Macaca fascicularis: one gene and its partners. The protein of the gene in region 3 purifies or fractionates together with the protein of the main gene of each other region. This does not show direct contact. Links are inferred from orthologs where the notes say so. Each region holds a gene or a part of one and is shown on either strand. Other genes may lie near its edges. The genes, in order: signal transducer and activator of transcription 5A, WWOX and ERBB4.

Region 1 (10,521 bases), on a different chromosome or scaffold from region 3:
CGTCTCTACTAAAAATACAAAAAATTAGCCGGGCGCGGTGGCGGGCGCCTGTAGTCCCAGCTACTCAGGAGGCTGAGGCAGGAGAATGGCGGGAACCCGGGAGGCGGAGCTTGCAGTGAGCCGAGATCGCACCACTGCACTCCAGCCTGGGCAACAGCGTGAGACTCCGTCTCAAAAAAAAAAAAAAAAAAAAAAAAAGAAAATAATCCAGGCTGGATGGGGCCTCCAAAGTCATCCCCTCATTTTATAGGTGGGGAAACTGAGGCACAGAGAATGGATGGGTCTTCAAAAATTAGTGAGGAAAGAGGCAGAAGCAGGGCCAGAGCCATAGGCGTGGTGGCTCACGCCTGTAATCCCAGCACTTTGGGAGGCCAAGGTGGGCGGATCACCTGAGGTCAGGAGTTCGAGACCAGTCTGGCCAACATGGTGAAACCCCGTCTCTACTAAAAATACAAAAATTAGCCCAGCATAGTGGTGGACGCCTATAATTCCAGCTACTCAGGAGGCTGAGGCACAAGAAGCACTTGAATCCAGAAGGCAGAGGTTGCAGTAAGCACTCCAGCCTGGGTGACAGAGTGAGACTCTGTCTGTGAAAAAAAAAGAGAAAATTAGCAAACACATCTAGGCCCAGAACCCAAGGATCCCGACTCCCAGCCCTGGGGCCCTCCGTCATCTCACTCTGGCTTCATCACTGAGCACAATTCCTATAGCCCCTGCCTGCATTTCCTGAGGCTAGGGGCCCCCATCTCTCCTGGTTGTAGGAGAGGGTAGTTGGGGGTGGAGAGTGGGGTGCTAGACCAGGCAGTAACCTGTGAGGCAGAGGAGCGACAGACCCCCGTAGGCCCTGGTGGACGGCTGGTGGCCGGGCCCCTACCCTGTTGAACTGGGACCAGGACACGGACAGGCCGCTGTAGTCCTCCAGGTGGCTGCTGCTGTTGTTGAACAGTTTCTGCGCCAGGAACACAAGGTTCTCCTTGGTCAGGCCCCGGTTGCTCTGCACTTCGGCCTTGAATTTCATGTTGAGCGCCTCACACAGCTGTGGCCACAGCACTTTGTCAGGCACGGCAAATGGCACCCTGCCCTGAGAGGGAGAGAAGAGAGGGGAAAAGGTAGATTAAGGGAGTTGGAAATGTTCACACACACACGAGATACACAGACACTAAGAGACAGGGGAGACTGAGACAGATCCAGAAAGGTGACACAAATGCAAGGGTAAGAAATGCGGTGGCTTTTATACACTAGCTTGCGCTGCAACCCCAGCCTGCAGGGAAGAAAGCTGATGCAGGGGGTGGGGGCACAGAGGACAGACAGCAAGGACCCAAGCCATCTGCCAAAGGAGGATCCCAGACCAGGATCCAAAGACCAAACTCACAGACCTCACAGACCCCAGTCCAGGAACTTGGAACCCAGACAGAGTACCAAGGCCATGGCCGAAGGCAGGCGCCCAGCACCCCAGCCCTTCTGGCCTCACCTCACCTCTGGGCTGGCCCTGGGGTGGGGCTGACCCCAGGCAAGTCCTAGGGCCCGGGGGGTGGGGGGGCTGGGGTAGGGCTCCCACGGGAACTCACCGGCTCAGCAAAGGCGTTGTCCCACAGCACGGTGGCCGTGGCATTGTGGTCCTGGCTGCCATGGACGATGACGACCACAGGTAGAGAGAGAGTCTACAGGAGTCAGAGGAACCCAAGTTGATGGGGCGTGACCACCATGTGCCCTCTGCTTAAGCAATGTGCTCCATCTTTTTTTTTAATGCTTTTTTTTTTTTTTTTTATCCATTGTTTCACTCTTGTTGCCCAGGCTGGAGTGCAATGGTGCAGTCTCGGCTCACCACAACCTCTGCCTCCCAGGTTCAAGCGATTCTCCTGCCTCAGCTTCTCATGTAGCTGGGATTACAGGCATGCGTCACCACACCTGGCTAATTTTGTATCTTTAGTACAGACAGGGTTTTTCCATGTTGGTCTGGCTGGTCTTAAACCCCCGACCTCAGGTGATCCACCTGCCTTGGCATCCCAAAGTGCTGGGATTACAGGCATGAGCCACCACGTGTGGCCGCAATCCACTTTATTTTTTCTTGAGACAGGGTGTCGCTCTGTCATCCAGACTGGAGGGCAATGGTGCAATCACAGCTCACTGCAGCCTTGACCTCCTGGGCTCAAGGGATCCTCCTGCCTCAGCCTCCAGAATAGCTGGAACTATAGGTGCATGCCACCATGCCTGACTTTTTTTTTTTTTTTTTTTTTTTTTTGTAGATACAGGTTCTCACTATGCTGCCCAGGCTAATCTTGAACTCCTGGACTCAAGCAATCCTCCCTCTTCTGCCTCCCAAAATGCTGGAATTACAGGTGAGAGCCACCACACCTGGTCCCAACCCACTTTCCTCACCCACAGTTCCAAACACAAACCCCTCCCAACAAAACGTAGGCACAAGCAAACAAACAAAAACTACAACCAATTCTTCTTAGGCCATTGCCTAAATTGTCTGGGTTAGTCCCAGATTATAACCTAGCAAACAGGTACCCACAGAGTCAAAGCAGGCTGTCCGGTGGCAATGCAGCCAGGAGTCCCAAGGCAGGCCCCTCCACCTCCTGGGTGAACTGCAGCAGTTGGGGCAGGAGGGCTGGGGGCCTCACCTTCACTTGGAACACAAGCTCATTGCTGCCAACACTGAACTGAGACTCAAACAGGACTGTGAACTTCTCCTCTGTCACGGACTCTGCACCCCGCCGGTCAGCACGCTTGATCCTCTTCAGTGACTGCAGGGTGGGAGGTGACAGGGGAACAGGGAGACTGCGGCTGCTTACAAGGACTCGGCTCTGGGCAGACCTGCCCTCTGAGGGTGGGCCCTGTCCTCACCATGTTCCTGAAGTGGGCGCTGAGGGTGCCCGTGGCTTGGTGGTACTCCATCACGCAGCAGTTGTTCAGGATCTCACCACTGCACTCGCTGCAATGGAGAGGGGAGTCCCAGCTCTACACAGGCCCCAGGCCAGGAGCATGGTCCTGTCCACACCTTGGGCTGGGGTCTTCACTCAGTTCAGCCCTGCCCCCATCCCCCAAGAGTGTTTCTTGGCATCTTTCTGGGTTGACTTCTCCATCAACCTGGTGCCCAGCACCCAAGGCAAGGTCTCCAATGGTGAGGTCTGGATCTATTATTAGAAATTCCTCAGATACAAAGATTGATGTGAGGGGCTTTGGGGACTTCCAGTAGCTTCTAATGCACTTAAGATAAAAACCACAACCACAGTCTATGAGTATCCTTATGTTTAACACCTACCCACCTCCCTGGCCTCACTGAACTCCTCTCCCCTCACTCAGGACACGCAAGCCCCATTGGCCCTGGCTGTCTGCTGAACATGCCAGGCTTGGACATTGGCCCTTGCTCTTCCTGTCACCCCAAACACTCTTAGCCTTCTCCTCCTTCAGGTCTCAGCCCAGATAGCTCCCCAGAAAGGCCTTCCTGGACCACTTATCTGGTGAAGCTTACCAGGCTGACCTTCCCTCACCCCCGCCTTTAACACATCTCCAATGCTAGCAGATTGCTCTTTCTTCTCTTTTTGGAGACAGAGCTTTGCTCTTTTTGCCCGGGCTGGAGTGCAATGGTGCAATCTCGGCTCACTGCAACCTCCACCTCCCAGGTTCAAGTGATTCTACTGCCTCAGCCTCCCAAATAGCTGGGATTACAGGCACGTGCAACCACACCTGGCTAATTTTTGTATTTTTAGTTGAGATTGGGTTTTGCCACGTTACCCACGCTGGTTTCGAACTCCTGACCTCAAATGATCCTCCCACCTTGGCCTCCCAAAGTGCTGGGATTACAGGCGTGAGCCACCGCGCCCAGCCTAGATTGCTCTGTCTTAACTTCTTTTCCACTGTCTTGTCATTGGGTTGGCCCTGCCTGATCTTTTAAAGTGTATTTTCATCAGTCTCCCCAGCTGCAGTGCAAGCTCAAAGGCAGTGAGATCATTTGTCTTCATCTTCACCCCAGATCACATGGTAGGAAATCAGTAAAGTTTTTTTGTTTTTGTTTTTTTGTTTTGTTTTGAGACAGAGTCTTGCTCTTGTTGCCCAGGCTGGAGTGCAATGGTACGATCTTGGCTCACTGCAACCTCCACTTCCTGGGTTCGAGCAATTCTCCTACCTCAGCCTCCCAAGTAGCTAGGATTACAGGCGTCCACCACCACGCTGGGCTAATTTTTATATTTTTAGTAGAGACGGGGTTTCACCATGTTGGTCAGGCAGGTTATGAACTCCTGACCTCATGATCTGCCCGCCTCGGCCTCCCAAAGTGCTGGAATTACAGGCATGAGCCACTGTGCCCGGCCTTCTTTTTTTTGAAACAGAGCCTCGCTTTGTCGCTCAGGCTGGAGTGCAGTGGCACAATCTTGGCTCATTGCCACCTCTGCCTCCTGGGTTCAAGTGATTTTCTTGCCTCAGAGTAGTTGGTAGTTGGGACTAGAGGTCCAAGTAGCTGGAGCTACAGGTGTATGTCACCAAGCCCGGCTAATTTTTGTATTTTAGTAGAGACAGGGTTCACCATGTCTAGTTGGCCAGGCTGGTCTCGAACTCCAGGCCTCAAGTGATCTACCCGCCTCCACTTCCCAAAGTGCTGGGATTATAGGCGTGAGTCACCTCGCCCAGCCTCAGTAAACATTTTTAACTGGATGACAGGGGATGGGGCCATGTCTTCCACATCACTCATTCACTCACTCATTCATTCACCCCCTGCATATGTTGTGGGTGGCCTGCCCTGACACTGGACACTACCTCCCCACTCTGCCACACACAGCCTCTCTGTACTCTTCCCTCAGGACGCGGCACATGGGCTCTGCCTGAAAGTCCTCTCTCTCTGCTACTTCCCTCCCTATCACTAGCTACCTCTAATTCCACCAGGAGCCTAAGACTGTCATTTCTTTACTCCTGCATCAAGACCCCCTTTCTCAGTGCCCTACACGTCCCCCTGCCACATGGCTACACCATCAGGCATTTCCCAGCATCTGTTGCCTGCTCTGCTGGTCAAGGCGCTGAGCAAGGAGACAGCCCAATTCTGTTGGGATCACAGTTTCGTCCTCGGTGCGTAGCACAGGTTCTAGAACACAGCTGCAACACCATACTTTGTGTGATTTTCTTCGAGACAGGGTCTCACTCTGTTGCCCAGGCTAGAATGCCATGGCGCAATCATACCTCACTGTAGTATCAAATTCCCAGGCTCAAGCGATCCTACCACCTCAGCCTCCTGAACAGCTGGGACTACAGGTGCGTGCACCACCATGCCCAGCTAATTTTAAAATTTTTTGTAGAGATAAGGGTCTCCCTGTGTTGTCCAATTCAAACTTTTGGGCTCAAGTGATCCTCCCACCTTGGCCTCCCAAAGTGCTGGGATTACAGGGGTGAGCCACCGCATCTAGACTAGCACCATGCTTGTTGCAGGAACCGGGATGGTCTCTGAGTAGGAGGAGGGCAGTGTACCATCTGTCCAGATTTAATGATGGTTTGACATGATTGAATTTACAATGGTGTGAAGCAACACACTTTCAGGAGAAAGTGGTATAACAGTCTCTCACAATGCTGGGCAGTGGCAGTGAGCCTCAGCTCTCTGGCAGCCACGCCATCCCCAGGGTAAAGAACTGATACTCGGCTGGGCGTGGTGGCTCACGCCTGTCAACGCAGCACTTTGGGAGGCTGAGATGGGAAGACTGCATGAGTCCAGGAGTTCGAGACCAGCCTGGGCAACATGGTAAACTAGGGGACAAGACATGGCTGGATGCAAGGACAAAGAGAGGGGGTGCAGGTCCCCCACACCTAAGTCTGGGCAGGGGAAGGGAGAGGCACAATTACTTGCGGGTGTTCTCGTTCTTGAGCAGAGACTTGGCCTGCTGCTCACTGATGATGGTGGCCTTCACCTGGGGCGGGTTCATGTGCACGTTCAGCTTCCCGCCCACCAGCAGGCGCACAGTGGCTGCAAACTTGGTCTGGGTCTTCAGGACCTGAGGAGGCTGCTTCTCAATGATGAATGTGCTGCAGGGGACACAGGGACAGACGTACGATGAGGGGTTGGCGCAGGGGAAAGGGCTCTCAGTCCTCCTGTGGTGGGGGTGGGTCTGCCTCCCGCGGGGCTCAGGAGGTGAAAAGCACGGGCACAGCCTCTGTTCCTGGGGAAGCCATGAGATTCCAGGGAAAGGATGGAAAGGGGAGTGACATAACACAGCAGCTGGCATGGGCTGCGGCCCAAGGGCATCTCTTGCAGTGTCCACAGGAGAAACCGGGCAAGGGCGGCACCCAGCAGCCACAGCAACTGGAGACGGAGTGGGGAGGGATGACAGGCACAAAGCGAATCTGCTGGTCTGGAAGGCACCTGCGGCCCCCCACACGCAGTCTGGAGCTGCCCCAAGCTCCTGGGCATGGCCAACAGGCAGCAGTCACCTGGTCACCAGGGCTGAGATGATGTCCGTGATGGTGGCGTTGACCTCAGCCAGCATCTTCTCCACTGGGCCAGGGATGGGCAGCTGCTGGCAGAGGTGCTCAGCCCTGCGGATCTGCTGCCGGTTCTGCCAGATGATCTCAGCCAACTTCTCACACCTGCACGGGAGCCCCAAGGCCAACAGGAGGACAATGGCTTCTTCGCACAGACGCCAGGCCCCAAGACACAGTTCCCCCTCCCGCAGGAAGGCTCTGTGCTTTCACCACACCTCCCACCCATGGGAAGAGCAGAGCTCCCTGCCTCCCAGAATTAGAAATGTACACAGGAGGGGCGACCCTGACTAGGCCCAAACAGCCCGAGCATCACCCCACACCCCCGAGCTCTCTCCCACCCCCAGGACAGCAGCCCCCTTCCTGGGGGAGGTGCACAGGATGGGGGACCAAAGTCTGATTCAGGAACCAGGCCCCCTGGAGAAACTAGAGCTGTCCCAGGATGGAGGGGGCCTGCTGCAGGAGCCAGCACAGGAGGCAGAAGCAGCCAGGGTCCCCACCAGCCCCCCCTGCCCTGCCCTCTGGCCGCCCCACACCATTACCAGGACTGTAGCACGTCCAGGCTGCCCTCGGGGGGCCCGCCGTTCCCCGCCAGCTGCTGCCGCCGCTTCCACTGGATCAGCTCGTCATCTAGGATGATGGTCTGCTGCTTCCGCAGCAGCTGCAGGGTCTTCTGGTGCTTCTCGGCCAGCTCCTGAGGGAAGGGAGGACAGCAGCCCCTTCTGGGCTCCCAGAGAACACTGCGGGGCCTCGCTGGGAAATGGCAGGGCAGGTCCGAGCTGCTCTGCCTCGCATGGCCCCCAGGAAAAAATGCTTCCTGCCTCCCCAGGTTCTGCTCTCATCTGGGTCCTAACCCTCCCTTGGGTCGCCAGAGACTGACTTCATGGCACCCACGCCCAGGAGAAGGCCAGGACCCCACTCACCACGCGGTACTGCTGCAGCGTCTGTGCCTCGCGCTGCAGCCACGTCTCCAGGGACACCTGCTTCTGCCGGAGGGCCGTCTCCCGGCTCAGACGCTCCTGGGGGCTCAGCTGGGCCAGTGGGCCAAACTGAGCTAGAGGAAGGGATAGGAAACCATGACTATCACCTCCCAGTGTCCAACAGGAGGCCCAGGGAAGCGCACTCACCCGTTCTGGAGCGAGACCCTCCCAGGCTCAGATACTGCATCAAGGGCAAGTCGGAGTTCCTGACAGACAGCGGGGGCAAGATGAATGGGCGCCTCAGGAGGTGCCTCTGGGCCCTGCTCCCTGGCCTCCTGACTCTGAGCGTCCCCTCTGGGGGCACACGGGTGCTGGGGCAGCTGGGGAAGAGGCCCGCCTGTCTCCTGCCTGCCTGCCACACAGAGCTGCCAGCCCTCTTCTCACAGCCCGGCATGGGTCTAGGCTGTCTGGGGTGCAAGTGTGCCCTTGACTGTGGGTGAACCTGGGCAAATCACTTTCCTTTCTGTGCTTCGGCTCCCCCACGTGTAAAACAGGAGAATCTCAGTACCTGCCTCAGTGGGGCGCTTGAAGATTAAATACATGAGGACATGGAAGATGCCAGAAAGCTTCCTGGCATGGGTGAGCTCTGTGTGAGGTTCGTCCTTCTTGGTTAATGGGGAACAGGACAGAGAGAAGAGGTGACAAGACAAGCAGTTGCTCGGCCCCATCCCTCCCGCAGCAAGGCCTCCTCAGGGGCCCCCGGCCCCGGCCACTCTGTCTCGTTCCTGAGCACAGCAGTCCGCCCTCAGGGGAGGATGAGATTCTCGAGGGGCCGGAAGGGGCCCGGCATGTTTGTCCAGGTTGGCTCACTGTGAGCCCAGCCGACCAACCAGGGGAGACAGACAGACAGACAGCAGAGGAGAGCATGTCCAGGGCCACTGGGGATGCAGAGCCACCAAGATTCTCTCAGGAAAGGGAGGCCGGAGGGAGGTGGCTTTTCTCCACACCATCTGTGAGGAGTCATTGATGGTGGGACAGGGAGTAAGTCAGGCCTCACTACCTTTTAAAAAGTATCCATTGGCCGGGCGCGGTGGCTCACGCCTGTAATCCCAGCACTTTGGGAAGCCGAGACAGGCGGATCACGAGGTCAGGAGATCGAGACCATCCTGGCTAACACGGTGAAACCCCGTCTCTACTAAAAAATACAACAAAGTAGCCGGGTGAGGTGGCGGGCGCCTGTAGTCCCAGCTACTCGGGAGGCTGAGGCAGGAGAATGGTGTAAACCTGGGAGGCGGAGCTTGCAGTGAGCTGAGATCCGGCCACTGCACCCCAGCCTGGGCGGCAGAGCAAGACTCCGTCTCAAAAAAAAAAAAAAAAAAAGTATCCATCATGGGGCCGGGAGCGGTGGCTCACGCCTGTAATCCCAGCACTTTGGGAGGCCGAGGCGGGCAGATCACGAGGTCAGGAGATTGAGACCATCCTGGCTAACATGGTGAAACCCCGTCTCTACTAAAAATACAAAAAATTACCCGGTGTGGTGGCGGGCACCTGTAGCCCCAGCTACTAGGGAGGCTGAGGCAGGAGAATGGTGTGAACCCGGGAGGTGGAGCTTGCAGTGAGCTGAGATCGGGCCACTGCACTCCAGCCTGGGCGACACAAGCGAGACTCTGTCTCAAAAAAAAAAAGTATCCATCATGTGGCCAGGTGTGGTGGCTCAAGCATGTAATCCCAGCACTTTGGGAGGCTGAGGCAGGCGATCACTTGAGGTCAAGAGTTCGAGACCAGCCTGGCCAACATGGCAAGACCCTGTCTCTACTAAAAATACAAAAATTAGCTGGGCATGGTGGCACATGCCTGTAATCCCAACTACTTAGGAGGCCCAGGCAGGAGAATTGCTTGAACCTGGGGGGTAAAGGTTGCAGTGAGCCGAGAGCACCACTGCATTCCAGCCAAGGAGAAGCAAGACTGCATCTCAAAAAAAAAAAAAAAACAAAAAGTATCCATTATGAAATATGTAAGACACAGGGAACATGGAACACAGGAGCACCTGTGTATCAATAACCCAGCCTAAGAAACTAGACATGTCCACAGTTACAGCCACCACCAGCAGGCCCACCCCACCCTCCCAACAACAGCCCCTCTCCACCACCCTGGGACTATTAATCCCTTCCCATCTCCTTCTCAACAGCCCAGCGTCCTTGCTTGAGCTGAGTCAGAAGATGCATCGCATGTCTCAGTCGAGCTCCTGGCTGGCCCCTGAGGGTCATGTCACCCTGACCCCAGCCCTGCCCCATGGGATGCACAAGCTGGGACAGACAAAAGCAACTCTATGTAGCCACGAACAGCCCAGAGCTAGAACTCAGAAATATGGCTCCAATCTCACTGCAGGTATCGAGCAGGAAGAGGATCATCCAGGCACGGACAGATCCGAGGCGTCTGCACGGCTACCACGGGAATCCTGCCCAGCCACAGGGAGGGTGGTGGTGATCCCAACACCTGGGCCCAGCCTTCCTATGCAAAGGACCCACTTAGGTCTCTCCTGGAAATTTGCAGAAGCTTTTGGGAAGGAGGCCAGGGAGACAGGAAGCAATTTCCCTACTCCACTGGAGGTAGCTGAGCCTTCCCTGGCAAAAGCGGATCAACAGTCTGTGTTTCTGCTGAGTGAACTTGACAAATGGGACTGAGAAGACACTGCATGATGGATCCAAACCTAATCCACCACCACACACAGGAAGCAGAAAAGTCAGGCACGGGATCAGAAATACTGTCGCCAGTCTAAGGACTTGGGTAGGAATAACAGCCCCAAATCTTCCGTTTCCATTCTCAGAAGGAGCTGCCCTTCTTCTGGGGTCAGTCTGGGATAGATTCAGATGAGCGGAAGTTCTCTTAGAATTATCCTGCCAGGGCTGGGCGCGGTGGCTCACGCCTGTAATCCCAGCACTTTGGGAGGCTGAGGCGGGCGGATCACGAGGTCAGGAGATCAAGACCATCCTGGCTAACACGGTGAAACCCCGTCTCTACAAAAAATGCAAAAGATTAGCTGGGCGTGGCAGCAGGCGCCTGCAGTCCCAGCTACTTGGGAGGCTGAGGCAGGAGAATAGCATGAACCCGGGAGGCGGAGCTTGCAGTGAGCCCAGAT
Region 2 (10,521 bases), on a different chromosome or scaffold from region 3:
GTTTTCATAGCCCAAAACGCTTATTCCTTAAACCTGAAAAGAACTGGGGCCCACTGAAAATAACTTCCGGCCTCCAGAAGGATCACATTTCTGCCAAAAAACATAGTCATCAAATCCTTTCCTTCAGAACTGCCTAGAACATATGCTGTAACATACAATAACTATTGCCATGTATCCTTAGATCTCAAAAAAGGCTTCTTGAGAAGGCTTTGGGTTTTTATCAAATTCATGTAAATGCAGCTGTTAAGATCTGCCAGCCACTCTTTTCAGTAGATTTCAATTAAATCTCTCAGCCCTGTGCAAGGGCCTAAAGACGTAGAGAAGTAGAAAACTCAAAATGGAAGTCTTAGTTGTAAATAAGAAACCTGCTGACTAATAAAATTCTAACGATTTTCATTTGAAGGCTCTGCACTCATACCTTCTACGAGCACTCATTTTGATTTGGAACTGATTTAAATCTTGTAGAAACAGTATTAAAATATACTGGAGGCTGGGCACAGTGGCTCACACCTGTAATCTCAGCAATTTGGGAGGCCAAGGCAAGAGAATCACTTGAGCCCTGGAGTTCAAGACCAGCCTGGGCAACATAGTGAGACTTCGTCTCTACAAAAACTAAACAAAATTTTGAGTGTGACAGCACATGCCTGTAGTCCCAGCTACTCGGGAGGCTGAGGTGGGAGGATGATCACGTGAGCCCTTGCTTACTCCTCTAGATTAGACCAGAAGCTGGCCAAATCTGGCCCACTGCCTGTTTTTGTAAATAAAGTTTTATTGGAACACAACAATGGCCATCACTGGTATATTGTGTATAGCTGCTTTAGCAATACAAAGGCAGAGTTGAATCACTGCAACAGAAACCCTATGGCCTCCAAATCCTAAAACATATTATCTAGCCCTTTACTGACAAAGTAGACAGCCCCTGCTCTAGCGAGGTGGCTCTCAAGCTAGGGAGCATCAGAATCCCCTGAAGGCCTTATTAGAGCGCAGACTGCCAGCCCCACCCCAGTGCTGGTTCAGTAGGTCTGGGGTGGGGGCCCGGGAAGGTACATTTTTAATGAATTCCCAGGTGATATTAATGCTGCTGGTCCAGGAACCATGCCTGAGAACTGCTGCTCTTGGTTGATTAATACCCATTTCAGGGAGTAACTTTCCAAGCGTGAACGCAAAGGCACACAGCGCACAGGAGAAAACTGATCTGACTACATAATTTAAGACATTCGGCCAGGTGTGGTGGCTCATGCCTGTAATCCCAATGCTTTGAGAAGTCAAAGCAGGAGGATCACTGGAGGCCAGAAGTTCAAGACCAGCCTAGGCAACATACTGAGCCTCAGTCTCTACAAAAAAAGGTATTTAAAAATTAGTTGGGCACAGTGGTATGGGCCTCCTCAGGAGGCTGAGGCAGGAGGCTCACTTGAGTCCAGGAGGTTGAGGCCGCAGCAAGCTGTTACTGTCACTGTACGTCAGCCCTGGATAACACAGCAAGACCCAGTTTGAAAACAAAAAAAAACAAAACACACACACACACACACACACAAAAGAAAGCTTGGGAAAAAAAAACGTTTCCAACATATAACCAATGCGTTGATATCCTCAATTAACTGAGGGGGAAAAAACTTTCACAAGTTAGGGGAAAAGCCTTTTAACAAATAACAGGCACTCCCACCTATCCAACTGCTAGGCAGCCTTGTCCTGGGGCTGCCTATGGCGGCCTGAGAGACTTCTCTCAAGCAAGCCTTGGCCCATTTGCTCTCAATATTAGTTGTGCACCAAAAGTTCACCAGGTTTGCTCAAAAAACACGTATGTCATTTGAACTTGTTACTGTAACTACATTATTTAGCAAGCTAGCATTACAGGAACTGATAACATGGGAGGTGAAAAACAGTGTCACTGGTTATCTATGAAAATGTGGTTGAATGCTTTGGAGAGCCTCAAAGACAAGCAGCTAAAAAAAATTTGTGGTTTAATCAACTGCAGTGAAAATGCTAGGAAAAAACCATAAAAGTCCCAGATGATGTAGCAATCAGATTCTTTGAAAATACTGTGTTTGCTCAACCCTAAGGTGAAAGTAGAAATTGTAGATGTTATGTTACAGGTGTGCTTGGGGAAGGAAGACAACACTGGATCCTTGCAGCGAACTCAAACTCAAAGAGCAGGGCTGGCCCAACCCCTAAATGTTGGTGTACTTGAATCAAAACACTAAAACGTTTATGTTACATTCATAACTCAAAAAAACAAAAAATCCTGCTTAAATCAACTTCTATTAACCAACCAATCCTAATCCTGTCAAAGACTATTCAAGCTTCTAATTTAAATGTCAGCAGTCGTGAAACATTCATTCCCCTCTTAACTACAGTGGTCAAGAATACAGTCCCTGGAGCAGGTGCTGGGCTCAAAGCCTGGCTGTGCTACTTCTTTACTGTAGAATCCTTACCAAGTCACCTACCCCCTCAAGTCTGTGTCACTGGCAGTAAGCCAGCGATAATAACAATACTACGTCTCAGGGCACCGTGGGGATCGAATGACCTAATGCTACAGACACAAGATGATTAGAATCAGGCCTGGCTCAGCTGTATGTTGGACAGGCGGTTACTATTGCTGCGTGATACTGGAATTTATCCTGAAGACACAATCAGAGAGGTGAAAAAGTCTTACAGATAAGGATGTTCACTCAACACATTATTTATAATTATAGGTTCTCAATAAAAGGAATTTAGCATTAATGTCCAATAGGCAATTTGATAAATTATATCTGTACAAAATAATAACTCTAGAGCTGCTAAATAGCATCTTTTTGAAAAACACAAAAGGATACAAGAAAATGTTCACAATATATTATGTGGAAAAAGCAGGTTACTAAACAGCCCACACAGTGCAATCTTTTTTTTTTTTTTTTTGAGATGGAGTCTCATCCTGTCGTCCAGGCTGGAGCGCAGTGGCACAATCTCAACTCACTGCAACCTCTGCCTCCCAGGTTCAAGTGATTCTCCTGCCTCACCCTCCCAAGTAGGTGGGACTACAGGCGCGTGCCACCACACCCAGCTAGCTAATTTTTGTATTTTTAGTAGAGATGAGGTTTCGCCATGTTGGCCAGAATGGTCTCGATCTCTTGACCTCGTGATCCATCCACTTCGGCCTCCCAAAGTGCTGGGATTACAGGCATGAGCCGCTGTATCAAGCCTCTTTACTTTTTTTTTAAGGACGCATGTGCATGGAAAATAGAAGAATAAATCCAGAGATGTTAAAAGTAGTTACTTCTGCTAAGATGACAGATTCATACTATTATACTTTGTATTTTTCTACAGTTACTATTAGTTTTATAATTAAAAATGCCTATTAAAAAGCAAAATAGCTGAGAGTGGTTTCTTTGTAGATACTTACTCAACAAAAAACACTTGTCCGTTCTCATCAGTTTCTTGTTCCCATCCGTATGGCAAATCTGAAACACAAGAAAGACAGGTCTACAGGTGCCAGGGAGAAGTAAAGACCGTTCCCGGGTCAGGAAGGGGAGGAGCCCTCCAGGCTCCGCCCCCAAGCCTGTCCCTCCCACCCAACAGCTGTCACATCAACTGGCTTCGGTCACATGTTCCAATTGTGGCAGCTGCAGAAGGCCCCTAATCCCACCTGGGCTCCACATTTTTGCCTCTTGCTTTGAAGAAAACCTATTTTATGCCTCTTCACTCTATAAACCTTACTGATTGCACCAATGAATGGGAAGTCTCCCTTGAATGAGAGCTCACAGAACATATCTACATGCAGGGCAGGCACTCAATGTCATTCATATGCTGACTTGTGATGCCTCGTATGATATTAGAGGGCACTGCCATTTTTTCTCATGTGTACACACTGACACTTCAACTAGACCTTAAACCTCTTAAGGGTAGGAACTTTCTCATACTTTTTTTTGAGACGAGGTCTCACTATGTTGTCCAGGCTCATCTCAAATTCCCGGGCATAAGTGATCCTCCCATCTCTGCCTCTGAAACTGCTGGGATCATAGGCACAAGTCACCTTGCTTGGCCCCTTCTTATACTTCTATTCCGTGGATCACACACTAGCTCAGAATCACCTAGAAGTCATGGTAATCTTTACGAAATTCCCAAATACTTACCTATTTAATTCCATACTACAGCCAAGAACAAATTTATAAACACTGTAACTACAGGAAAACATCATACACTGTGAATCAAAGGCCTCAATTATTTTGATGGTGTTTTCTGTTGTTTTTGCTATTTTTCAGACAGCATCTCACTCTATCACTGAGGCTGGAGCGCAGTGGTATGATCTTGGCTCACTGAAACCTCCGCCTCCTGGGTTTGAGAGCGTCCTATTCCTCAGCCTCCGAAGTAGCTGGAATTACAGGTGCGCGCTACCATACCCAGCTAATTTTTGTATTTTTAGAAGAGATGCGGTTTCAACATATTGGCCAGGCTGGTCTCAAACTCCTGACCTCAGGTGATCCACCCGCCTCGGCCTCCCAAAGTGCTGGGATTACAGGCATGAGCCACCATGTCCGGCCATTTTGGTACTTTAAGACCAGTACGAAATCATCCTCACTCCACCCTACGATCTCATCTTCTTCTTCTGCCAAATCCCATAAGCTCCTCAGAATGGGAGTTCGGTTTTCTCTACCAGAGAGCCCTCCCAAAAACACACCATAACCTGTCACCTCTCTGCCGGTGACATTTTCCCCATCTACTTCATGCTTCAATCCAAGATCCTTTGACAACAACATACAAACCTCCTGCCACTCGTTTTCTTTTTCCAGTTTTTGGATGTTCCCACTGAGTCTTCTCCTCGGTGTGACTGTTAAAAAAAAAAAAAAAAAAAAAAAAATCCACAGTAATAAATAAAAATTAACTCTTCTAAAAAGTAATCAATTGTATTACCTTTTTTTCTCTCCCAGATAATACTCTCTCTTAAGAGTAATAAAAACAGACATTCAGAGACGGCATGGGCAGAATATAAATGTCACTGTTTATATCACAAATTCCTCAAGTTAGAAGCAGCAGCAGCCCTGTAGAAATTTCCCGACAGCCTGCCTTTAGAAGCCAGATATAAGGAGGAAGTGAGGGAAGAAGAAGAAAGAGGACTGTGACCCCAGCTATGGGGTCAACTTTAGGAGGCTTGCTGAATCACTCAAAGTATCTAGAGGCAGTTGGGCGCGGTGGCTCACGCTGTAATCCCAGCACTTTGGGAGCCCTAGGGGAGCAGATCACGAGGTCAGGAGATCGAGACCATCCTGGCCAACATGGTGAAACCTCATCTCTACCAAAAATACAAAAATTAGGTGGGCATAGTGGCACACACCTGTAGTCCCAGCTACTTGGGAGGTTGAGGCAGGCGAATCACTTGAACCAGGGAGGCAGAGGTTGCAGTGAGCCTAGATCACACCGCTGCACTCCAGCCTGGTGACGACAGAGCAAGACTCTGTCTCAAATAAATAAATAAATAAATAAATAAATCTAGAGACATTTTGCTCTGTATTTGTTTTAGTTTTATTCCAGGATGTAGTGACAAAATTCGTAATATCTAATGTATATAATCTCTTAAAATATTTACTTATTTATTTGTATTTCTTTTTAAAGAATCAGGGTCTCACTATGTTGCCCAGGCAGGACTGGAACTCCTGGACTCAAGTGACCCTCCTATTTCAGCCTCTTCAGTGGCTGGGACTAGAAGCCACTTGTCCAGCTAAAATGTTTACTCTTTCTGCAGATGTAACTTCAAAGTGTTTCATTAAGCACTGGTTCCTAACTGGTCCCAAGAGGTAGTTAAGAGATGGAGTAAGACAGCCCCATAAGTCACCTAGCTGTGCGCTGTGCATCTTTGGTCAAGTGACCCCATGCCTTAATCCCCATTCCCTCATCTGCAAAATGGAAATAATCCTAGCACTCATCTTGGGGGCTGCTATGTAACAATATTGTATACCCAGGGTTTCGCATAGCACCTGGCATACAAAAAGCTCTGGGAAATGTAAGCTGTTACTGTGAACAAATCAGTTACATAAACTAGTCTGATTTTTGCGTCAAACTTAACATTTCATCTCAGACCACCACCCAAAGTTATAATTAAAATAGTAGGCCAATAACTAGAAACACGTGTCACCAGGTAAGAAGGAATCCAGGAAAACATACAATTACTTCATCAGGGAAAAAGCCAGGTGCTACAAGAGGCATTCAAAGGGTAGCCTGGGTTCCCTAAAAGTTTACCTACTCAAGCCAACACAGACAGTTATATTTTTAAATCAGCAACATCTAGGTGATAGGACATGAACATTCTTTCCCTGTCAATTACTTTAAAGAAAATAAATACAGAGAGCATGAATTTTCTAAAAAAAATTCTACAACTTGCAGGCAAGGTCTTTTTATGAACTGCTGGCTTCTGGTCTGTCTTGACAAAGTCTTGGCAGCTGGGTCCCTGTCATGGTGCAGGAACGCCTCACTCAGCATGCTAAAGACTGAGCAACCCGTGCTAGCTGAGTCCAGGCAGTGTCCTCAGCGCTGCCGCCTCACAGAGCTGCTGAGAAGGTGAGACACGCGACACCTGTGACAGTGCTTGGAGAATTAAATCCTTGTACCAGCTACGGTATCAGTAGCAAAGACAAACTCCTACTTTGTACATCAACCACCATCCCATAGCACTTGCAAAAAAAGCAGCTCTATGGCCGGGTACGGTGACTCACGCCTGTAATCCCAGCACTTCGGGAGGGTAAGGCAGGCGGATCACCCAAGGTCGAGAGTCCACGATCAGCCTGACCAACATGGAGAAACCGTGTCTCTACTAAAAATACAAAATTAGCCGGGTGTGGGGGCGCATGCTTGTAATCCCAGCTACTCGGTAGGCTGAGGCAGGAGAATCGCTTGCACTCGGGAGGCGGAGACCGCGCCATTGCACTACAGCCTGGGCAACAAGAGAAAACTCCATCTCAAAAAAAAAAGCAGCTCTGACTCTCTGGTAAGGATCATCCACTCTCCGCTGGCACAGAGGGAATACTGGCATACCAACTCCTGCTTCTCCTTCCCAAGCGACGGGAACAGCAATCAGATACACCAAGCATTGGCAACAACGCGAAACCTTCCTGCCCCTTGCAGAGCTGTCTCACGCTTTTTCAAGAAAGTTAAGAGACGGAGTTGCATTTTCCTTGCCTGCCATTAAAAGTAGTCTTCATCTCATAGGCACACATCAAACGCGCTTGAAGCCTGGCTCCAAAAAACTCTACCCTCAACAATCCACAAAGTGGCTGGGCGTGGTGGCTCACGCCTGTAATCCCAGCATTGTGGGAGGCCGAGGCGGACGGACCACTTGAGGCTAGGATTTCAAGACAGCCTGGTCAACATGGCAAAAGCCCATCTCTACTAAAAATACAAAAATTAGACAGACATGGTAGCACACGCCTGTAATCGCAGCTACTTGAGTGGCTGAGGCATGAGAATTTCCTGAACATGGGAAGTGGAGGTTGCAGTGAGCCAAAATCACACCACTGCAGTCCAGCCTGGGTGGAAAAGCAAGACTCAACGTAAAAAAAAAAAAAAAAAAATCCATGAAATGACCCTTAACAGTGGAAGCTGAGCCTTGACAGTAGGCAGGCTGGCGCAGAAAGAGCCTCCCGGCCCTTAGTAGGTGAAGCTGGGCCCTCAGACATGTAGCTGCATGCCTGGCCCACAGCAGGTGCGCAAATGTAAACATACAGAATGAATACTTTCCAAAGGAGCTACAAAACTCACTCAGAATATTTATTTATTTATTCAGAAAGACGTTTAGAAAACAAAACAAACTCTGTCAACCTATGTTCTTGACTTTCACAGAACATGCCTAAACCAGGGTTTCTTGTCCTCACTGCTGGTGACACTTGAGGCTGAATCTTTTTTTTTTTTTTTTTTTGAGACACGGTCTCACTCTGTCGCCCAGGCTGGAGTACAGTGGTGCAATCTCAATTCACCGCAACCTCTGCCTCCCAAGTTCAAGCAATTCTCCTGCCTCAGCCTGAGTAGCTAGGATTTCAGGCACCTGCCACCATGCCTGGATAATTTTTGTATTTTTAGCAGAGATGGGGTTTCATCATGTTGGCCAGGCAGGTCTCGAACTCCTGACCTCAACTGATCCACCTGCCTCAGCGTCCCAAAGTGTGGGGAATCCAGGCATGTGCCACTGCACCCAGATCACATCATTCTCTGTTGTGGGGTTGTCTTGGGCACCACTGGCCTCTGCCCATCAGATGCCAATACCCCAGTACCATAGCTGTGGCAACAGAAAGCGTCTCCAGACACTGCCAACCGTCCCCTGCAGAACACAACCATCCCTAGGGAAGAACTCAGAACCAGCTGAAGCAGAGACAGTAATTTGGTTGGTCGTGAAGATTCTGGAGCCTGACTGCCCGTTTTCTGGGTCTCCCATTTGCCAGCCACTCTGCCCTTGAAGAAGTCATTTAATCCCATGCCTCAGTTTCCTCATCAGTTTAGATGGGGACAATAACAGCACCTACTTCTTGAGGTTATAGAGTTAACACAGGAAGAACTAAGAACTGTACCTTTCAGCAGAAGACTTATTTTTCATAAATATAAAAATTAATTAAAAGGTGTTCTTTTTAATTATAACCTTAAATGACTTTTTAATGAAGAGAAAATTAGAACACATGTCCCCTAAGTGTTCTCCTATTCTCCTTTAAATAAAAGGCAATTTTGATTTTTTATTTTTTCAATAAGCTTGCCATTTAAAGAGATGATTAATAGTAACCTAAACTTAAACCAAAGGATTCAAAATTAAGTGAACATCATATTACGTGAATACCACACTTCCACATATCGGGTGTTTTCTGTTATTTATTTATTTTTTTTTTAAACAGGGTCTCATTCTGTGGCCCAGGCTAGAGTACAGTGACACAACCATAGCCCACTGCAGCCTCGAGCTTCTGGGCTCAAGCAATCCTCCCACCTTGGCCTCCCACCACATCCCGCCTACAGGGTGTGTGTCTGTGTTCTGAACACAGTGTAAGTTAACAAGGAGATCTAGAGTTGACGGTGAGGACAGCCAGCCCTGTGGACGCAGGAGACATGGAGGCCTCTGACTGCCAAAAGGCCTGAGCTTCATAAGGAGGACAGGGAAGGGCAAACAAGGACGGCTCTGACACTGAGACCTTGTCCCTCCCTCCCCATGTCCCACGAAGGGGCTGCTCTGAGACTGTTAGGGGAGAGGGGTAGAAGAAAGGTCCCACCAGCACTCTCAGGTCTCTGGCCTCCCCCGACCCCATCCCTGGGAGCCCAGCCTGGTGGGCTTTGGAGCCCTAAGACGCGTGTGCCTCTGAGACATACAAGTGAACCATGGGGCAGGTGGGAAAGCAGGAGAGGCCAACAGCAGCCACACAAGACCAGGCTCCACCAGACCCCGAGGTCTCAGTGGGAGCTACAGCCTCTCTCCCTGGCCGTGGCCCTGCTACACGAGGGGCAACAGTATGGAAAAGAAATGACTCCAAAAGCAGCCTCCTAGAAAGCACATCCGCAAAGTCTCCCCAACCCCAAGAGAAAAACCAGTGTCACTTCCAGAGTCAGGAAGGAAAAGGGGTTGGAACGAGCACAAAAATGTAAACAGAAAAGGGCCAGGATGCTCACAGATCAGGGGAGATCAAGGGAAGGTGGGGTTGGGACGCATCAGAGGCATCCTAACCTAACACCCAAAGAACTTCAGCCTTTCTGCCCTGACACCCAGAGAACTGAGGGCTGGCGGGGATGGACAGAAGGTCCAGAGAGATGAGTCCTCCAGCTGGGAGCCAGCCAAGCCCTGGCATCTCAGCTGGTGTAAACAATAAATAGCTAATGCATGCGGGGCCGAATGCCTAGGTGATGGGTTGACAGGTGCAGCAAGCCACCATGGCACATCCTGCACATGTGTCCCAGAATTTTAAATTAAATTAAAAAAAAAAAAATAGAGTCCGAGAGGCCAGCTTGAGACCTAAGACAGTAGTCGGGGGGCTGGAAGAAGAGCTTTTGGAAACCATGCACGCACCCGAGCGCCCTGGCCATGGGACACACAGGAAGAAAGCAGATGGGAGAAAGGCCAAGTAGCAGGAAGGCAGGCACAGGGGGCACGCAGGGCAAGCGGGAGCAAGGGAGCCCCAGGGCCCTGGCGCCAGGATCCAGGGCACGCCTGCAGGGAGGCAGAAGCACCTCTGTGGCTGAGTGGCAAAGGAGGAGACGCCCCACAGAGCCAGAGGCAGAGGTGGGCTTAGGAAGCCGGAAGGGGGTCATGTGCATCTCTGTACTCTGAGGCCCAGTGCACCGCTCACCCACCCACGGAAGCCCGCGGCTGACCTTCCTGAGATGATTCATTTACTCATCCCACAGGGGTTCATCTTACAGCTTCTGGGTGCCAAGCACCGGGGACGCGCAGATGAACAAGCTGCCCTCATGATGTCTGCAACCCGGGCAAGGGAGACGGGGCCAACGAGGAGGAGTACACAGCCAAGGCTGAGCACGAAGAAGCAGAGAAACAAGGTGACCAGTGCAAGGTTGAGGGGACACCCAGAG
Region 3 (10,521 bases):
TTAAACTAGCAGTACATTGTATTGATTGCACTTCTTGGTTTGAAACAGTAATTTAATCAAGCAAATTTTTTTAAAGATGTGGAATGGTTTGCAGTAGAGAAGAATATGCTGATGAACCAAGTTCAGAAAGGCAGTATAAGGTGGTTCCAGAGATCAAGTTGCTGGAACTGATACTCTTTTCAAGACTTGAATGCTGGCATGAATAAATGCCAATGGATTCAGACACAAATCCTCAGGACATAGGCCATATGCCTATCTGTTTGTCAGGCGATTATGGAGCATGTTGATTGATAGCCCTATTAAGGCTACTTAGAGTGGATCACTAGTGGTTATTCACCCTACCGAAAAGGAATGTTCTCAGAGACCGGTAAAAGAAGAGATATCTACAGTAAGAATAAAATTTGTTTGACTGCTACAGGTAGATACATACTTCTAAAAAAGCCTAAGATCACTGTTCTTAGAAGTTTTGACCTATCTTGAAGAAGCAGCCAATGGATAAAATTTAATCTCTCTGTAAATGATATATGTTAATATGAGGTGTCTACCTAGGATAGCACGAAATGTCTTTTAATGTAATAAAATTTTAAAACTTACTGTGGATTTCTTAAAAATAAAAAACAAAACTGGAAGTCTTACTTGAATTCATATACATGGAAGCGAATAGTTCCTGTGTTATAAACGTGAATATGAATAAGCTAGATAGGAACAAGATGGTTCTAAGTAATCTGTATGAAGAGATACTTTTGGACAATGTCATAAATATTATGAAAATTCATGAGTAGATAAATGTAGAGCTACAGAAGAAAAAAATGTCAATTTTATCTGTGCTTGTTTCTATCCTTCTTATGAATTCCAGGTACTATTAGCAATGTATACTTCTTTGAGGAGCAGAAATACCAGTTGTTCTCACTATAATATAATTTATTTCTAGACTATATATATTCTTCCAAATCAATAATAAACTTTTAAAACAAAGCAATGTCAAGTGGTTCATACATGAACTTGCTATCTTTGAGAATTTCATCAGAATAGTTCAATCTGAATAATCTTATAGATCTAGAATAGGCTTTGATGAAAATCTCATATTTTGTGACATCAAAAATGTCCACAAAACACCTACTATTCCTCCTCCACATCTAGCACAGATTAATTTAGACATGCATTGATAACGCCCCTATTGCTAATTAAAATTAAATTAGAATAAAATAACTACTGTCACATTTCTCATATTTTCACTCCTTTATTAAAATTTAAATTTGGCTATGTTTCTTCTTGATTTTCTAGGGACCCTTACAATGCAATTGAAGCCATAGACCCAGAGAAACTGAATGTCTTTCGGACAGTCAGAGAGATAACAGGTAATTTTTTAAACTGCAACTGTTGTGCTATGAACAACGTAATTTTAAAAAAAAATTGCATAAGATTGGCTGGGCACAGTGGCTCACTCCTGTAATCCCAGCACTTTGAGAAGTCAAGGCGGGTGGATCACGAGATCAGGAGATTGAGACCATCCTGGCCAACATGGTGAAACCCTGTCTCTACTAAAAATACAAAAATTAGCTGGGTGTGGTGGTGCGTGCCTGTAATCCCAGCCACTCAGGAGGCTGAGGCAGGAAAATTGCTTGAACCCAGGAGGTGGAGATTGCAGTGAGCCAAGATCACGCCGCTGCACTCCACCCTGGCAATAGAGTGAGACTCCATCACAAAATAACAACAAAAAAGAAAACAAAACAGAAAAAGTTACATAAGATTGGAATCAGCAACTAATTTTCAAAGCAGATTTTAGTTTGTAAAAACTCGTATTATTTTTAAAGATGGTATTAGCTTTTATGCATATTTTGAAAGCCCATGGAATTACAAAATGAGTGTCTTTGAAAGTCTGACATTACAACTCTTGCAAGTGTCAACTGATCTTTGAACCCATGTTTTTCTGTTTACTTCTTCAAAAGAAGTACTCTTGAACATGGATAACATGTAGCATTTATTTAGCACATATATATTAAGCCTGTAATGTGTTCAACATTGTCTTAGTGGGTAATATGGGGCCCATAGATATGAATCAGACATGGACTTACCGTAAAATAATGCAAAATCTAATGAGAAAGGTTAGATACGTATATAAATGTCTTAGAATATAAGGGTGACACTGATATCGTAAGTATACAGATGAAGAGGTAAAAGATTTCGGAGAAATTGAAACTATATTTTTCTCTTCATCTAGTTAGACTACATTCTTGCATTTATAAGAATAAATCAAATTGAGTCATTGAAACCTTTCAACATATAAAGTTTTACCGGGTAAGAGACTCAATCTTGGAAGAATACATACGTAATAGAGTGCTTCAAAAATAGAAATGTTCACTACTCCTTTCTCACTTCCCACCTTTCAACATGTTTTCACCATATTTCAAGAAAAATCAGCACTAATACTAAGACAATGATATTCTGATTTATTTTTACTACTCTTCACTTGTAGGTTTCCTGAACATACAGTCATGGCCGCCAAACATGACTGATTTCAGTGTTTTTTCTAACCTAGTGACCATTGGTGGAAGAGTACTCTATAGGTAAGTGGATATGTTTAAAGTTGCAGGTCTCACAGATTTCAAGAGGAGCATCGTCTGGGCATTAAGTCAAAACCATCACTCTTATTGATTTACTGATTCTGGGGAAATCATGCTTCCATCCTTATTTCCAAAGATAAGCTCATTGAAAATACCTCCAATGATGGTATGAAGTATTACAGAATACATAGTTTGATTTTTTCAATTGTCTGTCACTCAAAATAATATTAGTATTTTGCAAGTATGGGGTGCAAGATATGAACAATTAATGAAACTTTCTTTTTTATCAGATGTTATCATAACTAAAAGATAAGAGTTGTGTGACTTGGTAATGGCTCGGGTGTATAGGATACACATGCTGTTGTGCCAGGAGATTCTGTTCTTGTCTCTGGTGCTATAATTTGAACTACACATCACAGGGCTGATGTTTTAGGAACAGGTCCGCCATTCTACATGTTCTGCTGGTTAATAAATGGACAAGAAAATTCAGGTTTAGAAGGACATTGATAAAATTATAATGTCAATAATTTAAATTCACATTATAAGAGTAAATAACAGGTTTCTTCAATGTCATCTGTATGACGTTCTTATTTATGAGCAATTAAAAGTCAATTTACATAAGAATTTTTAAAATTTGTTTACTTAAGTTCAAAATATCTCCAAAATTAATATCATCATTGATTTTATAATAATGTTTTATAAAAAGTACATTGAATTTCACTATTAAAATTTAAAAGTTATATTTATAAGAGGTTTTAAAAATGTAAAGGAAAAAGGAGCTTAATAAGAAAGGATAGTCAAGAGATACAATCTATTAAAGTGCTATATGTAAACAACTTTTACTATCCATTGAATAAATATTATAAGCCAATCGAGACATTGTGCTAACATTGTAATCAACAACTCAAGATAGTTATGATGGGGACAAAATTTGAGAGAAAGAGCTGCATCTTGGTCTTTATCATTGAGCATACACACACACAAACACACACACACACACACATTCTGACAACCATGGAAGATAAATCTAAATATTAACAGCAAAGAATATTTAAAACTAAAAATAAAAGTGGAAAGCATTGATCTCCAAAATGTAAAATAATATTCATTAACTGATTGAAATATGGGAAGCATGTTTATGCTTTAGAGAATGGAAAAGTAAATAAGTAAAAAAAGAAAATAAGTAAAAAAGTAAATAATTACAATAATGTGGATTATATTAAAATAAAAGTAGTTTCCTTGATTTTTCAATCGTCAGTCACTCAAAGTAATATTAGTATTTTCCAAGCATGGAGTGCATGATGTGAGCAATTCTAAACAGGGTAGTTGTTATTTAACTTTTAGAGACCTTTTCCCCAGATACCCAAGGCATCTGAGTTTGTTTTCTTTTTCTAATTTTAGTTTAGTTTTATTCTTTACTTTTTACCGTCTCCTAACCTTACTTACACATGCCTCAATTATTACAGTTCTGGTGTCTGAGGTATTAAAGTAAAGCTAAATACCTATAATCATTTTCTGAAATTATTTAGACATACTCTGAAAGTATGTCTATATGTCTAAATCTATTACATAAAAAGGAATTAATGTCTTACTTTGAGTAGATGAACGATTGTTTTATAAACACTTCTTTAGTGTTAATACAGGATTTCATCATTGAACAATGTAAAGTTAAGGCTTGGGGTGGGAAGATAGTGAGCAGATATTTCAGTGGTAAATATATACACAGAGATACACTGCCAATATGCATAACTGTAAGCAATGGAAATTTTACTTTGGGAGGTCAAATTGTTACTTTAAAAACTGTATATAGCATGTAAAAACAAATATCATTCAAAACACAGAGTTACTGATTCAGTCTCTATTTACACTCCATTAACATTCTTTTAAAAATAAAATATGACAGCCTTATTTTACTCCAGAATGTGTCTCATGGTTCCATTTTCTCCCTTCCCCCTCCTTAGTGGCCTCTCCTTGCTTATCCTCAAGCAACAGGGCATCACCTCTCTACAGTTCCAGTCCCTGAAGGAAATCAGCGCAGGAAACATCTATATTACTGACAATAGCAACTTGTGTTATTATCATACCATTAACTGGACAACACTCTTCAGCACAATCAACCAAAGAATAGTTATCCGGGACAATAGAAAAGCTGAAAACTGTAGTAAGTACATTACTCAGACATTTAAAACATAGAAACTTAATTTTTTTCCCATTCTTTTTTGGACCAAAAAATTAAAAATAACATCAGGTCAGAATTGTTGCTTTGTTATCCCAACCCTTAAAAAGGAAGGTAGTTATTACAATTGCCAATATGATATAAAATAATCAGAGTAAGTGACTTTCTACAACATATGGCATATTTATTTGCAAGATGTCTTACCTAATCTTAAGAACGCTCCTGTGGAGATTTGAATTCAGTATGTCTAAATGGAACCTGGGTATTTAAATCATTGGCATCCCAGGTAATTTCAAGGATCCAGTCAATGTGTGGAGATCCACCCTATTGAATTCTCTGTTTGTTGTTTGGTTTCAGTGAGTTTCATAACAGAATAACAGAGTTTTGCCATTTAGAGGTGGTGAGAAAAATGAAGTTGTATTTTTCTAACATGTGTAAAAACTACTATTCAAGAAGTACATTGTTCAAGATGTTTTGTTGTTCAGAAAGAAAGTTTACTTTATTAATGCATTTATGTAGACATGTATTTATCATTTTTTCATCTGTTTTGCTACTTATTGATTCATTTAATAATTTCTCATTTACTCTGAAGCAAATAATGCTTTTGTAGGCACATGACTATGCCATTCCTATCTAATGCACTGATATTCCAATGATTTATACTTCATTCTTCCCTGTTTTTCTACTGAATACTACTCTTTCCTACATCCTATGAGTGCCACTATTATGAGTACAATCATCAGACTTATTATGGTAAATACTGAATAAAAAGACTCCGCACTCAAATGATCTGTTTGCAAATGAATATTCTTGTTGTGGGCACAAAATCAATCCGTTCTAAAAGGCAGAACCCTAGAAAATTCTGCTCTCAGAGTATTTTCTTACTTCTTTGATCTCTCCATTAAAACAATCATAAGGGTATACATGAGTAATGATTGAGTTTGTGTGTGTGTGTGTGTGTGTGTGTGTGTGAATAAATAGAAGACTTTTTTAAAAGTTATAAACTCTTAAGAGGCCAACATAATTTGTTTATTGAGTTTTCAGTGAATTAATTGATTTATTAAGATCCCATCTTGTTCCAGAAATAATTTAAGACAGCTCAGTCTACTAATCTTCATAAAATATAATTTATGATTAATTCTCTTATATTTTAGCTCTTTTCGATCCTTAAAAATATTTCGAAATGAAGGAGATCTATCCCAATATGAGATTCCTGCTAAGAGTGAACTTAAGTTCTTACTCATTCTTCTGTTCCACATAGAATCACGAAATATAAAATCTAATTGTGTATCAAAATATGCATGTTATATTGAATGATATTCATTATTTCATTTGGCCTATGTTATTTCCTTGGTTTTACACATTACTGATTTCTAAAAGAAAATTTGCTTTGCTTTTTCCCTAATGCTTAAGCTTATCCCACATCACAATATGTGTGTGTATATGCCCCAAAGTAGATGATTCATGGCAATAAGATAGATTCTTCTTCAATACCAATTGATAAATGTTTCCCTAAATCAGGGTTATACTCTTGTTTCCTTCGACATCCTTAAAAAAATTAGTACCTCTATCTTTCAAAAATTTAACTATGAATTCAAAATAATGTAAAGAAATATATAAAAGAATCAGAAAAAAACATTCTTCCTCTTTGATGCACTTAATCAGTTTACAAATCCTACAAAAATTCATATTTCATATATCTTTCTATACTTGAAAAGCAAATGGGAAGAAGAAAATGCAAAAAATAAATGTAGGGAAACAAGATGAGAAAAAGGGATATTTCAGTAAATTATATAATGTTATTTTACACTTCTTTAAAACTTCTAAACATTTCAAATGACCAAAAGGGAGTGAACAATAATAATAATGATAATAACTAAAATATAAAATGTGTTTAAACTTTCAGTGTTATGCTTCTTGGATTGAGGTTAACTACTTTTCAGACCATAGACATATTTTTTTTTGTTCTGTGCACAAGAATTACTTTGCAGTTTGGGGAAAAAAATGAAGCAGTTAGGAGAAACATAGTTTTGTGGTGCTATAGTATCAAGCATATCATTTTTCATTTTAAACATATTAGAATAAATATATTTTGCGTGGAATTCATTTATCAAAATTTGGACTTCAGACTCACAGCATACTGGATCCATAAAAATTCCATATGCCTCCATTTTCAGAAATATAATTACCCTGTAAACTTGACCTCAGAGATGCTGCTGATGTTTACGACCCCCAGTACTATTTGTAAATGGGAATGTCTAAATGCTTGCTTCATTTTAAATGCACTGTAAATGTTTCCTTTTTGGATATTCCATCTTGGTATATCATACACACACAAGATGTACATGAGCATACACATATGTTCACTACAACACCTAAACATATATGCATATACAGAGTGGATGTCTGTATGCTGTTCCATATACAACACACATGTATATACACACACCTAGTAAACATATCCATGCATACACACCCTTACTTGCCCACTTACATTTACACACAGTTACCGTGAAATACTCTGACCTAAATCTAAGAGTTGGCTTATGAACTTAATGAAAAGGCAGTCCTTCATTTGTAATGGTGTTTTTTGGAGTTCAGCATGATTTAAAACAGTAATGACAATATAAAAAAAGGTTAACTCATCTATAAAGGCTAACAGTGGCTAGAGCAATCTTACTCTTTTAAGTCAAAAATTTCAAAGCTGATTTGAAGAGATTGAGATTGAGGGAACTCTGGGACATGAAAAGCTAGAATATTTTGGACCTCTGTCATTTATGTGGTTATGATAGTAACCAAATTGCAGTGTTAGGTGGAAGAAGTTTTAGAGTAGATTTATAAAAGCATTTGAAGTTTCTTAAAATATTTAAGCATAAATTTTTAATACTGAAATATAAACAGTGTAGAGATAAATATTACACCAGCCCTTCAGAATCCGAGTTATATTTGAACTTATATATCTCAAGTCTCAAGTCTTTAAAATATTTGTACAGATACTGTTAAACTCAACATGAAATTAAATTCATTATTGATTTTCAAAATAAAAATATTTTTATTTTTCCAATTATAATAGTACCTTTTTCATTATTCAAAATAAAACCAATCAAAAATATATAAAAATATTTTTAAAACTATATTATATATAATTCTTGGTGAATATATTTTTCATATATATAGATAAGGATAGTGAAATATATATTTTCATATATAAATGGGATCATACCATTTCTATTTAAATACCATTCAGTCATCTATGTCTTATACTTAATATAGTATAAGCATTAGTATAAGCATCTCACATTCAATAGATAGAGCTCTTCCTTATTCTTTTTTTTTTTTTTTTTTTTTTTTGAGATGGAGTCTCACTCTTGTTGCCCAGGCTGGAGTGCAATGGCACGATCTTGGCCCACCACAACCTTTGCCTCCCGGGTTCAAGCGATTCTCCTGCCTCAGCCTCCTGAGTAACTGAGATTACAGGCATGCAACACCACACCTGGCTAATTTTGTATTTTAGTTTCTTCATGTTGGTTAGGCTGGTCTCGAACTCCTGACCTCAGCTGGTCCACCCACCTCGGCCTCCCAAAGTGCTGGGATTACAGGTGTAAGCCACCATGCCTGGCCTTCCTCATTCCTTTTTAAAGCTATTTATAGAAGTATTCTGGACCAGTACCATATTAATTGTATTTTAAATTATTTTCCATTTTTATATTATCACTGCTGCCATGATGTGTATCTAGTTTATGAAACATTTTGTAGTGTACAATTATTTCCTGTGGCTAAAACCTTAGATGTAGAATTTCTCTGTAAATGAGGCTACATAAAAATTTTCTCACTAATTTCTCTGTCATCTTCTGAAAATACTAAATCAATTAACCTTGTTGCAAACACTGTGTGATAGTAATATTTTCCACTACTCTTTAAATCACTAGATATTATCTATGGTTTTAAATTTCAGTGATCTAAAGGAAGAAAATAAGTATTTTATATTTACATGATTAATTCATCTTTTTTTATCTTGTAAATTGCTTTATATGTGAACTTTGTTCATTTTTAATTTGGGGGTTGTTCTTTTTCTCCTAAATTTGAAAAAACTATTTACAAATTAAATTTATTAAATTTTGTTCCTTAAATGTGTTGGGAATAAGTTCCTCTCTTACTGGTAATTTGAATAATTTGTCTTTTGATAATCCAATGTTTATCAAACCATATTTTTATATAGTTAAGTGGTTAGATTGTTCTTTTCCTTTTTAATTGTTTGATCTTGTATTTTTAGATAATTCTTTTCATCTAGTACTTTAAAAAAATATTGAAATTTTTAACACATCTTGACGTTTTGGCATAGCGTTTTTTAAAAATTCCTGATTGCGATGTGGATCCAAAATAATTTATTAAACAACCCATCTCTCCTTATTGACTTTAGCTAATCAGCTAACAAATCAGCTAAAAGGTGCCAGACTCTATCTCTCAACCTAGGTATATTGTTTAATTTAGTTATTACAACCACCCTGTAAAGTATAATCATCTGCATTTGCAGATGAGTATACATTTATTAAGACAGTTAAATAATATTTCCAGTTTTGGCGCTACTAAAATCCTATTAAGGACTTCAACCCAATGCCTGTCTGACTTCGAAGTCTAGGCCCTTAATTTAACCGTGATTCCTCTCAAAATAAAGAAAATGTTGGCTGGGCATGGTGGCTCATGCCTGTAATCCCAGCACTTTGGGAGGCAGAGGTGGGCAGATCGCCTGAGGTCAGGAGTTCGAGACCAGCCTGGCCAATATGGTGAAACCCCGTCTCTACTAAAAATACAAAAATTAGCCAGGTGTTGTGATGCACACCTGTAATCCCACCTACTCGGGAGGCTGAGGCAGGAGAATCACTTGAATCCAGGAGATGGAGGTTGTGGTGAGCCAAGATCACACCATTGTACTTCAGCCTGGGCAGCAAAGTGAGGAAAGAAAGAAAGAGAGAAAAGAAAGAGAGAGGAAGGAAGGAAGGAAGGAAGGAAGGAAGGAAGGAAGGAAGGAAGGAAGGAAGGAAGGGAGGAAGGAAAGAAGGGAGGAAGGGGGAGAGGGAGGGAAGGAAGAAAAGGAAGAAAAGGAAGGAAGGAAGGAAGGAGAAAGAAAGAGAAAGAAAGAAACAAAGAAAGAAAGAGCAAGAGAGAGCTATACATGTGTTAGCTATTATTACTACTACTAAAAATTTTATGTTTCTATTAAAAATAGTTTATATATTAGACATTCACATATACATATATTATATAATGTGAAGATACAATATTTAATTTTACTTTACAAAAAGTGCCTTCTTGAACATAAAAAAGGATAGATAAATATCAAGAGCTTTCTTTTTACGCAGAACAAAAATTTACTTTATTAAAGTGATTAATTAAAAATTTGCGAGATCAACCATTGGGAGATATGGAAGGAATAAGATTAGTTATTATGTTATTAACAGGAGGCTAGACATTGAAGAATTTAGAAATGATCTCAAAATCATAAGCAGATAAAAAGTATATGTTTGAGAATCCCTTGAAATGTATTTATTTTTCTTTTTCTCTTCTAAATTAAAACATTTTACAGTTGGCTTTATGATAAGCAAGAGACTTTCTAAAATTCAAAAAAATATCAAGTTTAAATTAATGGCTCAGGGCAAAAATATTTGGTGATGGGGAATATATATTTTTGGCACCAATAAGCTAAAAAGGATACACATTTTTATATTTATTTGTGGTTTTTATGTTTCTGAAATTTGACAGTAGAAAAATCCACCCCATTTT

What was found.
Region 1: the proteins of ERBB4 (region 3) and signal transducer and activator of transcription 5A purify together in Homo sapiens (affinity purification with western blotting; 3 studies listed by BioGRID, with this or other methods). This does not show direct contact. The link is inferred for Macaca fascicularis from reciprocal best matches to the Homo sapiens genes ERBB4 and STAT5A.
Region 2: the proteins of ERBB4 (region 3) and WWOX purify together in Homo sapiens (affinity purification with western blotting; 4 studies listed by BioGRID). This does not show direct contact. The link is inferred for Macaca fascicularis from reciprocal best matches to the Homo sapiens genes ERBB4 and WWOX.

Annotation. Positions count from the first base shown.
Region 1 is NC_088390.1:63,345,499-63,356,019, reverse strand, and holds part of signal transducer and activator of transcription 5A, read right to left. Parts: intron 7,517-10,521; coding exon 7,386-7,516; intron 7,157-7,385; coding exon 7,005-7,156; intron 6,571-7,004; coding exon 6,415-6,570; intron 6,010-6,414; coding exon 5,830-6,009; intron 2,939-5,829; coding exon 2,851-2,938; intron 2,751-2,850; coding exon 2,628-2,750; intron 1,662-2,627; coding exon 1,569-1,661; intron 1,082-1,568; coding exon 875-1,081; intron 588-874; coding exon of another isoform or gene 495-587; exon of another isoform or gene 359-494; intron 1-358. UniProt on the Homo sapiens protein: Carries out a dual function: signal transduction and activation of transcription. Mediates cellular responses to the cytokine KITLG/SCF and other growth factors. Mediates cellular responses to ERBB4.
Region 2 is NC_088394.1:74,013,562-74,024,082, reverse strand, and holds part of WWOX (WW domain-containing oxidoreductase), read right to left. Parts: intron 4,805-10,521; coding exon 4,740-4,804; intron 3,438-4,739; coding exon 3,380-3,437; intron 1-3,379. UniProt on the Homo sapiens protein: Putative oxidoreductase. Acts as a tumor suppressor and plays a role in apoptosis. Required for normal bone development. May function synergistically with p53/TP53 to control genotoxic stress-induced cell death.
Region 3 is NC_088386.1:107,514,856-107,525,376, reverse strand, and holds part of ERBB4 (receptor tyrosine-protein kinase erbB-4), read left to right. Parts: intron 1-1,284; coding exon 1,285-1,358; intron 1,359-2,476; coding exon 2,477-2,567; intron 2,568-4,525; coding exon 4,526-4,725; intron 4,726-10,521. UniProt on the Homo sapiens protein: Tyrosine-protein kinase that plays an essential role as cell surface receptor for neuregulins and EGF family members and regulates development of the heart, the central nervous system and the mammary gland, gene transcription, cell proliferation, differentiation, migration and apoptosis.